Linked DNA regions of Drosophila melanogaster. The protein of the gene in region 1 purifies or fractionates together with the protein of each later gene. This does not show direct contact. Each region holds a gene or a part of one and is shown on either strand. Other genes may lie near its edges.

What was found.
Region 2: the proteins of Men (region 1) and Syb purify together in Drosophila melanogaster (affinity purification with mass spectrometry, with the first as the bait; one large-scale study listed by BioGRID). This does not show direct contact.

The regions. Positions count from the first base shown.
Region 1 is NT_033777.3:12,719,961-12,725,470, forward strand, and holds the start of Men (malic enzyme), read right to left. Parts: upstream 2,483-5,510; 5' UTR 2,238-2,482; coding exon 2,176-2,237; intron 825-2,175; exon of another isoform or gene 707-824; coding exon of another isoform or gene 657-706; intron 68-656; coding exon 1-67.
Region 2 is NT_033778.4:10,249,556-10,255,065, forward strand, and holds the start of Syb (synaptobrevin), read right to left. Parts: upstream 2,863-5,510; 5' UTR 2,727-2,862; intron 2,618-2,726; exon of another isoform or gene 2,520-2,617; intron 2,430-2,519; 5' UTR 2,420-2,429; coding exon 2,373-2,419; intron 1,659-2,372; coding exon 1,324-1,658; intron 1,032-1,323; coding exon of another isoform or gene 1,015-1,031; exon of another isoform or gene 814-1,014; intron 273-813; coding exon 196-272; 3' UTR 1-195. Other genes in the region: Csgalnact (chondroitin sulfate N-acetylgalactosaminyltransferase), read left to right, coding at 3,432-4,470, 4,585-4,721, 4,782-5,084, 5,146-5,289. UniProt on the Drosophila melanogaster protein: Involved in the targeting and/or fusion of transport vesicles to their target membrane.

The sequences.
Region 1 (5,510 bases):
GCGCTCTTTGCCGCGACTATATGAGGAAGGACTCTGCGAATTGTTGGCGGTGGGATAAACCGGCGTGCTGAGGGAGAGAGAGAGAGCAGACAATATGTGAATGAATGTCAATGCGGGAGTGACAATAACAACCAATTCGTCACCAACATTCGGATACTCTTTCTGAAAGAACCGATGTTAACATTTTTAATTGAATTTTAATCGTACACACTCCACGTTCCCACACTAACAATTGTTAATAATATATATATTACATTTTAATAGTATATATATCTTATTTGAATAGTATATTATATAACAGTATATAATAATATATGAATTTCACCATAAAAAGCTTTTTGTAATAGCCAAAAAGTCGTAGAGCAATAAAATGGTATTTAGGGTTAAAAGAGGCCCTTAAAGGGTGGGTACTCTTCGTTTCAGATTCCTTATCAAGGTTTTCAGAACCTTTGAAATGCGCTGATATGTTTGAACGTATGTGCATGGTCATATGATGAGGCGATGCATCGCAGACACGCCTTCCAGATGGAAACCGATAAGTGGTGCCAAAGTGACACTGATTATTGCCAATTCAGAAACACACCCTCTTGATCTGTGGTCCAATCGTATGACACCACATTATACTTGTTATTCTGAAATTCTTGCATTCGACTCACGGTCCAAAAGTTTTTCTGATACCAGAACAGCGTCGTAGGATCGAGTACATGGCGGTGCTCTTAAAAGTCTTCTATATTATATACTTATTAGTATATTGATTTGCCGACAATTATCTCACTGAGTATTTGACTTTTGTCTGCGTTGCTGCAGCTTTCGTGCTGAACTGAACCGCAGTATTCGATTTGTTTTGCTACCACCATATGTATACACTTTGCGATTTTGTTTTGTTTCCGCGCTCTTTGGCTCTTTCTCTCCGATTAGTTTCAGTTGTGTGGGGTATATCAGCTGACTGATAAGGGCGGTGCAAACACTATCTGCACATATAAACGCCATTAAACAACGATTATTACCATCAAATCATTTGTCTGGGACCTGGAAAACATTGCGATGCGGCGTGAATAGCATGCGAAAAGTTTCCGTGAGAACAGCAGCGGTCGAAATAATAGTATTCAAATTAGACTATAGAGTATTGCAGTTAGCAATTTCTTATCTACTATTATTTATAATCAGTAGCTTTGATTTTAATGTAAACTTAAGTACAACGTGCGTGCATTACTTGAATTAAATAAACCGAACCTTTTCTATTAGAGATTATTAGACTCGATGGCGTTAAATATAAACCAATAATACCTCCTGAACTTGTGGCATCTGACTAAGTATAAATTATTTAAAGAGACGCCTCAAGGTAGAAGCCCCAAACCCCAACCTTAACCTTCAGTGTCCCGAATCGCTTCAGTTCCCGCCCCACTTTGCACTTGACTCACTCATACGACCGGTGGGCCCGTTCCGCTTTTGCTCGGATGTCTGTTTGATATATTCAATTATTACACAAAAATTGAAAGTAAAACACGGCAGGCGAATAAATTGGAATATATCACACATGTTTGTGTGTGTGCCCGAGCAACCTTCATAAATATTAACAATTTACTTCAGCTTTGCCAACGAATTACATTTTCCAAGTACCTTCGTGAGCAAAACACACCTGTCGCTCTAACTTTTTTTTTTCTTTTTACTTCGAAAATCGTTAATTAAGAAGGTGGTGCTCTAATTTTTTATCGATGGCGTGTGTCAGAAGTTATTCTTTTTTATCGCAACGCCGACGAGTCGCCTGTAAATCGTTGATAAAACACTAGTAAAACGAATCATTGACCACTAATGACACCTCGAGAAACAAATTATTGGAGGGGCGGGGCTGAGGGCGGTGGCTTGGCTTGCATTTGCACAAGAAAAAACTTGTAGTTGCAGGAAAGGATCTACTTAAATATATTAAGTATCGAAACAAAAAATGTTAAGAATTTGTAATGGTTTTTTATAAATAACTTTTTTATGTAAAATATAATTTCCTAATCTTTCAGTTATTAGTTTTTAGTAACAATAAAAATAAACAAATTAATTACAAACATGTTTGCGCATTAGTAAACACAAACTCTTTGGCCAACTCTCGCATTTTCGAAATCCTCTTTTGCCAATCGCTTGAGTTCAGCTTCAGTTTGTTCACTTTTCCATTTCATTTCTTACCCATTTTCATCGAAATTTGTTATGACATTGCGATCGGCGCAAATGGAACTGGAATTACCCATTTTGGGTTCTAAATTTCAGTTAAATTAGCTCCAGTTAAATAGTTATAGTTAATTATTTGGTAAACGCAAAACTTGTGAACTTTTCTAACGCGAAAATTAACTCAGTTCGCTTGACCACGCGATGTTTCACCGGAATTATTAAAAACAGTTATTAACAAAAATTAAAAAAAGTGTATTTTGAGCTATTGCGCTTGACTTAGCAACTCCGAACCGCCTGAAACTGAATCAAAAACTGAACTCGCGCTGAAATCGCGGCTCTGCGAACACCGGAGGCAACTTGCTAGCAGCGGGCGGCCCAAAGGAGAAGGAGAAGGAGAGTGTCCGGTGCTGCCCTCCCGCTCGCACCCGCACGCAGGCAGCACGCGACATTTGCTCCACTGAGTCACTTTGGTAGGCCCAGACGGCTACAGTGGCCCCTCGCTAAAAAGGATGAAATCTAAAATGCATTTTTAATAGGTTTTTAGTTTATTTCTTATATAAAAATCAATAACTTTAAACACTATTTAACGTTGATATTAGGTAATCTGCTGTTTTATTTAACTATAATTTGTAAATTTTTATGCTTTACAAAAGGACTATACAAAAATGGGTTTGTTTGTATTCTCTTTTTAATTTTAATCTAGCAAGACTTTCATTTCGGGGTTTCACCGTATTTGATTAATCGTTGCAGCCTTAGAGAAGCTTTGGCGCTGAGTTGTACTTCACTTGGAGTCACACAAAACCTGAGCGGTTGGTTAATCGCAGTGACCTCTGGGCGGCACACACAAATGCATGAAGCAATTTGTTGCTGGCCAATTAAAAAATAATAATTTCAGCTTTCAAAGAAGGCAACTCGATTGCTGACCATCGCGTCCCAGTCGGCTGCACTTGGCAAGTGGCGAAGAAAAATTTATAAATCCAATGAATTCCGGGTCATTTCAAATGCACTGAGTTGAAACGATGGGGAAGGGGACTCGGTAGTCGGTGTGGTGGATCCTTAGGCTTTTTTCGCCTTTTGACTCTGATTTTATCACCTAATGATTTTACCGCTGTTTCATTTGTCGCCTGGGTGGCACTCGAATTTTAATTAGATTTGCTTTATTGCACTGCTGTCTGTTGAAATCATAATATATATTGCACTAATGTTCAAAGATCTTGTTCAATTGTGCAAATATGACACACATTAATTACTGGGTTTGGTTTGCTATATCGAATTTATTGTTGAAGTGTCGGCTTGTGTTTACTGTCTAAAATTTGCGAAAGTGTCGTATGAAAAGTTGCAACACGATTTCAATTGCTGCCAGGGTCAATTGTAATTTCAGTTAAGTCAGTAAAAAAAAACCATACGGCGGAATCGTGGCTGCATTAATATTGGTATTATCGACATATACGAGAAAATTGTTGGATTATTGAAGTAAAGTGTGCATATAAAACTAACAAAGAATGTCGCTATACCATTATTAACTTATCTACATATGTATTTTAAAAACCACAGATAACATCGTAGTTTGTTAAAATTTCGATTCATTCTATCTAGTTCATACAATAGTGACCACGAAAGTATCTTAAGGAGGCCAACAATAACAATGATTATACAAGCGAAACTCCAAAAAATACTAAAAACCACTCCGAATGGAAATTTCCAGTTAGAAATTTTTATAATTTATATTTTTTTAAATTCGTTTAACAGAACCATAAAACCTAGCATTGCAAAACATTACTGATAAGTGATAGTTCGCTTAAAATATAATAGATGGCGCTATCGTTAAGCTCTAGATTTGGCCGTTAATTTTAGGCGCTACTGTTAATGTAATAAAAGCTTAAAAGCTTTGTTTGCGTTGGAGTGTTCATAAATAATAACAGATGGCGCCAGCTGCAGTTCTGAAAACGACCGTTATTTATCTATGATTAACGGTTTCTTTTGTATTATACAAATACAAATAATAATAATAATTGTAACAATAACACCTTTTGTTATGAATTACATTATTTCACCATAAATTGGTGGGTCAATTTAGGAATGCATGTTTGTAACCTGCGTTAGAAAATAAAATCAATGACCAATTGATAGTTTGCCATTTTATAATACAACACTCAAACCGCGCGATTGCTATTTTAGAGGTGTGTCAGCTGATTTTCCGAGTCCAGTGCTTTTCACATGCTCAGTTCAACCATGTTTTGCACATATTGCTTTTTCAACTTTTTGCCATTGCAATTTAATAACAACGTGATGAGGGGAGATCCAACGACGTGCAACAAGCAACAAGGCAATTGAGGGCCACTTTTATCATCAAATGATTTTACCCAGCTAAGCCAGCGCAATTTCCACGAAGTTGCATGTGACGGGGATAACACTGAGAAAATAACATAAAAAATCAACATGGGTATTAAGTTACCATATAGCAGATATAGTGGTTTTCTTTTTTAAGGATGTTTTCACATAGAAAGGCTTCCGTTTTTAGTAAGTTTTAAGAGAACCGAAGAACGTGCTGGAATAAATTTCCCAGTGTAAACAAACACAAGGATAGTAGTGAGTGTGTGTGTAGCGATTGCAAAAAAATGCAATTGGTGGATGGCAGTTGGGTGTGTGGGAGCGAAACGGTAATCTATCATAATTTTTATATCCTAAAATCCCATTTTCGTATTAGGGCAAAAATGTCTGAGAGCAAATATAATAAAATGGCCAACACATCGACTTGGCCACCCAGCCGGAAGGTACAAAGGACGCTGGAGAGGAGCTCGCACATTTATGCTCCTTGTCAAAGGATAACACACTCACACTTCTGCCAAGCCAACAGTATGAAATTCCAGCCATCCGCTTGATTTTTCTCTATTTTTTCGATGCGCTCCCCCCACATTTTCCATCTCATTCTTCGCCCGACCATCTGTCTCTTTCTATTTCCCTTTGCTGGCCGCGTTTTATTTTTCAATGGCTGGTCCGGCACAAAAACGTTCGAATGGCCAACAATTTTATGAGTCTCGCGTACACGATCTCACTTGGACTCGGTCTTGGTCTTGGTCTTGGACTTCGTTCCGTGCCGGAAATGTCAAACTGAACAAAAATAAGGGGGATTTGTGGAATAGAAGGTACTCTTACTCAAATCATTAAAGCCATGTACATTTTTATTTCCTTTGAATCCACAAAATATAGTTAAAACAATGGTGAATGAATGAATTTCCGTAGTTTGTAATTTGTTAAAAAATAAAAATAAAAGGGGATACAAATCAATAAGTAACGACCGGAAAAAAAGGCGCTTATCCATGGATTCAAGGCGTATTTACTTTAAAGCCTTA
Region 2 (5,510 bases), on another chromosome or scaffold:
TTAACATTAAGATTTAATAATTACATTCTGGTTAAATATATGCTAGACGCAATTTTAGTAAGTTATCCTTTTGATTTTCTTCATCTCCCCTTCTCTCATTGCGCGAAAAGACCAGAAAGGTTTCCGTCCCAGTTGTGTTTGTTTGGTCCTTTTCCATTTCGTATCCATGTGTTTACCTCACTCCCTAGGAGGCCTTTAGTGCGGCGGTGCTTGGGTGATGGCCTTGTTTCCTCCACCACTGCCGCTGTCACTACTAGACGGCCAAACGGACACTAAAAAGGGAAATACGCAGATATTAGAGCTATGTTTATATCAATTCAACGAGATATGAAAAGGATTTCATATCCTATCTCGCATTTAAATGAAATCGCGGTCTTTTTAAGTAAAAGTTCTAACCACCCAGCACATTGTACTGAGCGTTTTGTTGACGAAAGATTTCTTCAGTTATTTATTAATTAACAACTTTTAAAGTCAGATTTTATCTTCCCGCTTACTATCTTACATACCTTTCGATGTCAGCACGGATTTCGTATTGTCATTCTTATTTAATACTTTTTACGCGAGTTTAATTTGAATAAAATCGAAATGACTTTTTAAAATGAAATTTCTCCATAGAACAGAGCCCTAGCCCCAACATTGCACTGTAGATATAACCATTTTTAACTTCTTAATAGCTTTGCTGAAGCTATATACATATGTATGAACTTTATAGTCTACACACGTATGACATGGAGGTTCTAATCTTCGCACACTACAGACTAAACAAATATAACGATAATTAACACTTAGGACAGGCACAAGAACAACAATTACCTTTAGAGCTTTAGAGTTGCTTAGCTTAAGACTTTTATAAAATATAATAAACAATTTAAGGAGTATATAGTAGGAGCCAGTACACGTACACAAACGTGTTAAACGATTAATCTGAACCTTAACTTTGCTGATTGGGAAACGGAATTACATGATTTTTGTTGGCTTTGCTTTTGTTTTTCTGTGAGTGTGTGTTTAATTGTATCAATTGAAAAGCGACACTGCAAGTAAACAGAAATTCACAAGGGGTTGTCATCAGTACGAGTAGGAGTATCTGTTATTGGATTAGTTAGCTGCAAGCCACATGGACAAGTTGTTAGGACCGAAACCACAGGTTGAGCAAGATTAGGGCGTTTGCAGGGCGTCGACTTGCGTTATAGATATAACAATACCAAACCAAACCAGCCACCTAGCTACACTACTGATCTTTAGCCTGATCGAGAAAAACCGCAACCAGAAAGAAGCACCAGCAAGAGGCAAAAAGCCGAAGCGGTATAAAATCGGTTAGCTTACCCAGAACGATGATGAGCAGCACAACGGCTATCACGCCCAGAATGATCATCATCTTCATGTTGGCCCACCATTGCTTGCGCTTCAGCTTGCCGGCCTGCTGCTCGAACTGGGATGCTCCCTGCTCCAGCTGATCCGCACGCTCGCCCAGTTCCGATAGCTTCTGGTCCCGCTCCAGGACCTTCTCCACGTTCACACGCATAATCCCGACCACCTCGTCCACCTTGGCTTGGGTCTGCTGCAGCTTCTTCTGGGCTGCATTGTTGTTCCTGATTTGATGGTCACCGAATTGATTGTAGTTGTCATTCGCGTTCGGCGGTGGCGGAAGTATGGGAAAACTGTACAATATTATGTGTGTTTGTGGGGGTTGCTTACACTTATTAAGAGCAGCAGATGGATCATCAAGCTGCAACGCACAAAAGCACGAGTCTTGGTATATCATGCCATCGTTATCTATGCCAATTCACCTTTCACGTTTTAATAATGGGACTTGTGTCCTATAAATACTTTCTTTCTTCTTAAATTCGGATAGACTAATAAAACTTCACAATCTCAAGTGCTGTTGAAATTCCATTGACAAAAAAAAATATAAAATGAGTAATATTCATTTGTTTTTCATAGATGTTAAATGAAACATACTTAAGTATGTTCAGTTACCATTTGCGATAAAGTGATTAATAAGCAAATTCTGTTTCTGATTATAAGCTACTTGCAAATGTTTTACAATTTAGAATCGAATATAATTAATACTTTTTTGTTATTCGAGTTAATTTGCCATTTCACATTAATATTCCATCTAAGATAGCAACTGACTTTACAATATCTCAACTTAACTGAATGCTTTTAATGACCCTAATTGATTTCAAACTACAACTGAAGCTACCGCTTGGGCAGCAGCATGACGTTTACGGTATTCCAATGTCCGAAAGTGAAGTCCGAAGACTTTACTTCCGGTTCGCTGTGGCCCATATGACTCAGGTGACGTCACTGTATGGGATTTTCCTTGCTTTTGTGCGCTGAGCCTGTTGATTCGATGGATTTCCACCACTTACTCGTTGTTGTTGGATCCCGAGGGGGAGGGGGCTTCGTTGTTCTCCATTGTGAATTTGCTGCGGAAAGAAAGCGAAGCAGAGAAAGGCCTTTATTGGATGTCTGGTTCTTTAAATGGGGAGAATGCATGTTCCATCACACACACACACCCGAAATTGTTTAGATTACAGGGCCGAAAAGAAAAGAAAACAAAACGCAGCACACGCCTTATCTATTCGGCCTATGAATCACTCGATTTATAGGAATGCCATCACCTTTGCTCGAAAAAAGAACTTGTTGCATGCCGCACTGCCAACAAACGCTGTTTACATGGGTGGAACGCCACCCCCAACCACCCACCACCCCCGAGCACTCACCTTGACAATGTGCCTGTAGAATACTGCTGTGTATTTCGGGTTTTCCACGGAAAACTGCGGCTGCTTTTTAAATAGCACTATTTTTTTTTATAGAAATATCAGCTTGTGATCAGTGTGACCGTTGAACTATTAGAGCTGGAACCAAGCCCGATACCTTATCGATACTATCGATGTTTCCTGAAAACCCCTTGCAAATATAAAAAGATAATACTTATCTAGCTTATAAAAAACATGAATTGGTATATTTAGTATGTGTATCGGCGCACAAATTATTGTTAACAAGCACTTGCATTCCATTTTTCTTTAGTTCCTTGCAGATGATGTTTGATTTCAAATCAATGTCTTATATTATTGTATCTTATTTTATTACTTAAATTACCAGTGCCGCAAGCCAAAATGAAATTTTTGTTTGCTCTTAACTGATTTATCTTTAATACTTTTACAAAAGATCAGCGAAAATTATTAATAACGCACTGTTGCCTAAATAGCAGAGACAAAAACCAATAAACTGTTCTACCGAGCCATGTACATGTATAATATGTAATAAAAATGTAGAATTCCACAGCAATGTATAAAATTTGTGATAATTCGTTACTAGTTTTTTTTACAGTCTCAAATGTGTGTTTGCATTTTACTATTGCACTTAGATAACTAATTATTTTATTATTTTCAATAGGTTGAAAATTTTGTAAGAAACTATGGAAAATGCATAACTCCCTGGTGACCAAGTTGCTGCTGCGGCTTTTGCTGCTCTTCGCCTTGTTGACCGGCGCCTCCATTGTGGTGCTCACAAAGTGCGGATTCGATGAACTGACGACGAGGGAAACTCAAGCCAATAATCCGAGTGAATCCAGCGGATTCAGTTACACCTTAAGCGAACGAGAGGCGGAAATTGAGCGGCTGAAACAGGAAGTCCTGGCTCTCCGCACTCAAATCCTCTTTCTACAGAATAATCGCAGCACTGCCAAGCCATCAAATGGCAGTCTTCAATTGCAAGAAACCACCGCGGGGCCACCAACTGCACCACTGGGTCACCATTACGACTGCAGCAGCTATATTCGCAAGCAGGTGGGCGCCGCAGAAATTCTGCATGGACTGCCGCTGAACAACGAGTACGAGCTGATACCCTACAATCACTTCACCTTCACGCGAGTATATCCCATCGACTTGGGCCTGGGAAAGCGCGTGGTGGAGAAGCCCATCGGTTATCGACGACGTGACCTCATCGAGGCGGTAAACAAGGCGCTGGAGAGCCTGAACAGGAATCACTCAGCGAGAATACGAGCCAAGGGAGCTGGTTCTGCAGCGGCTTACGCCTCGGATGTGATCAAATACACCCTGGATGACTTTATCGAGGGCATATACCGCAACGAACCCACCACAGGCACCCAGTACGAGCTGTACTTCCAGAGTGTCAAGCACCAGGCGAGTCCAGTGCGGAGAGCCCTGGTCATGCGACCATTTGCTCCTCTGCAAACGGTGCAGCTATCGGAGCTATCTTCCAGTGTGGATAATAGTGGTGCCCCTCCAAGTCATAGTCCGCCCATAATCCACGTGATACTACCGCTGGCTGGACGTCTGCACAGCTTTCGCGGCTTCCTGCAGATGTTCGCCAAGCTAGAGGATCGTCGCCTGGAGCTTATTGTGGTGTACTTTGGAACCAGTGGATTGGAGCAAGCTAGGAGCCTGGCTGGACGATCCCAAAGGACTCAGTTTTTGGCACTCAATGAGACTTTCAGTAGGGGTAAGCACGGGTTTCGTTTATTAATATTACATTTGTTTCGTTCATAATACATATGCAAGTTTATAATGCATTACAAATAATATTGGTAGTTAATAATAGCCATTTTGCTTATAGCCAAAGCTTTAAGACTGGGAGCGGAGCACATTCAACCCGCTGAGGAGGACGTGCTGCTCTTCATGTGCGACGTGGACATTATGTTCACGACCAAGTTCCTGGAGCGTTGTCGCTGGAATGCAGCGCCTGGAAAGAAGGTAAATATATCTGCTATTATTTAAATTACTAATACATTAACATCTATTTTCAACGCTTAGGTCTACTACCCCGTCGTATTTAGCCTGTACAATCCGCATGTGGTGTACTCACTGCAGGGCAAGCCCTTGCCCAGCGAAGAGGAGCAACTGGTGATATCGAGGGACACCGGTTTCTGGCGGGACTTTGGCTACGGAATGACGTGCCAGTACCGCTCGAACTTCCTAAAGGTGCGCGGTTTCGACGAGGAGGAGATTGTCGGTTGGGGCGGCGAGGATGTGATGCTATACCGAAAGTATGTTCGATCAAAAATCAAGATAATCAGGGCCACCGACCCGGGAATCTTTCACCGCTGGCACACCAAGGTACTGTTGTATGCAACGAATTTCAGCCCATTTGCACTACCGAGTTCTCTCTTTTACACAGATCTGTTCCAGTTCCCTGACAGCCGATCAGTATCGGGCCTGCATTCGATCGAGGGCCTTGAATGAGGCCTCGCACGCCCAACTGGGATTCCTGGCTTTCCGGGATGATATAGCCGCGGCTAATGCGGCAAAGATGACATCGTGATACTCGACTATTCCCCATGTATCCCCAATCGCTTGGCTTCTCTACTTAAGTGTGTGTGAATGGAGAGCAGTGATATAGTTGAAATGTCTAGGGTTTTCTAACAATTATAGCTTTTATTCCATTTCGTTTTATTATAAAATTGAATTGTGATTTCATTTCTATCGCTAGCAGTATCAGTATTCTCAATGATATCTATTGTTTTAGATAGAATATACAATATT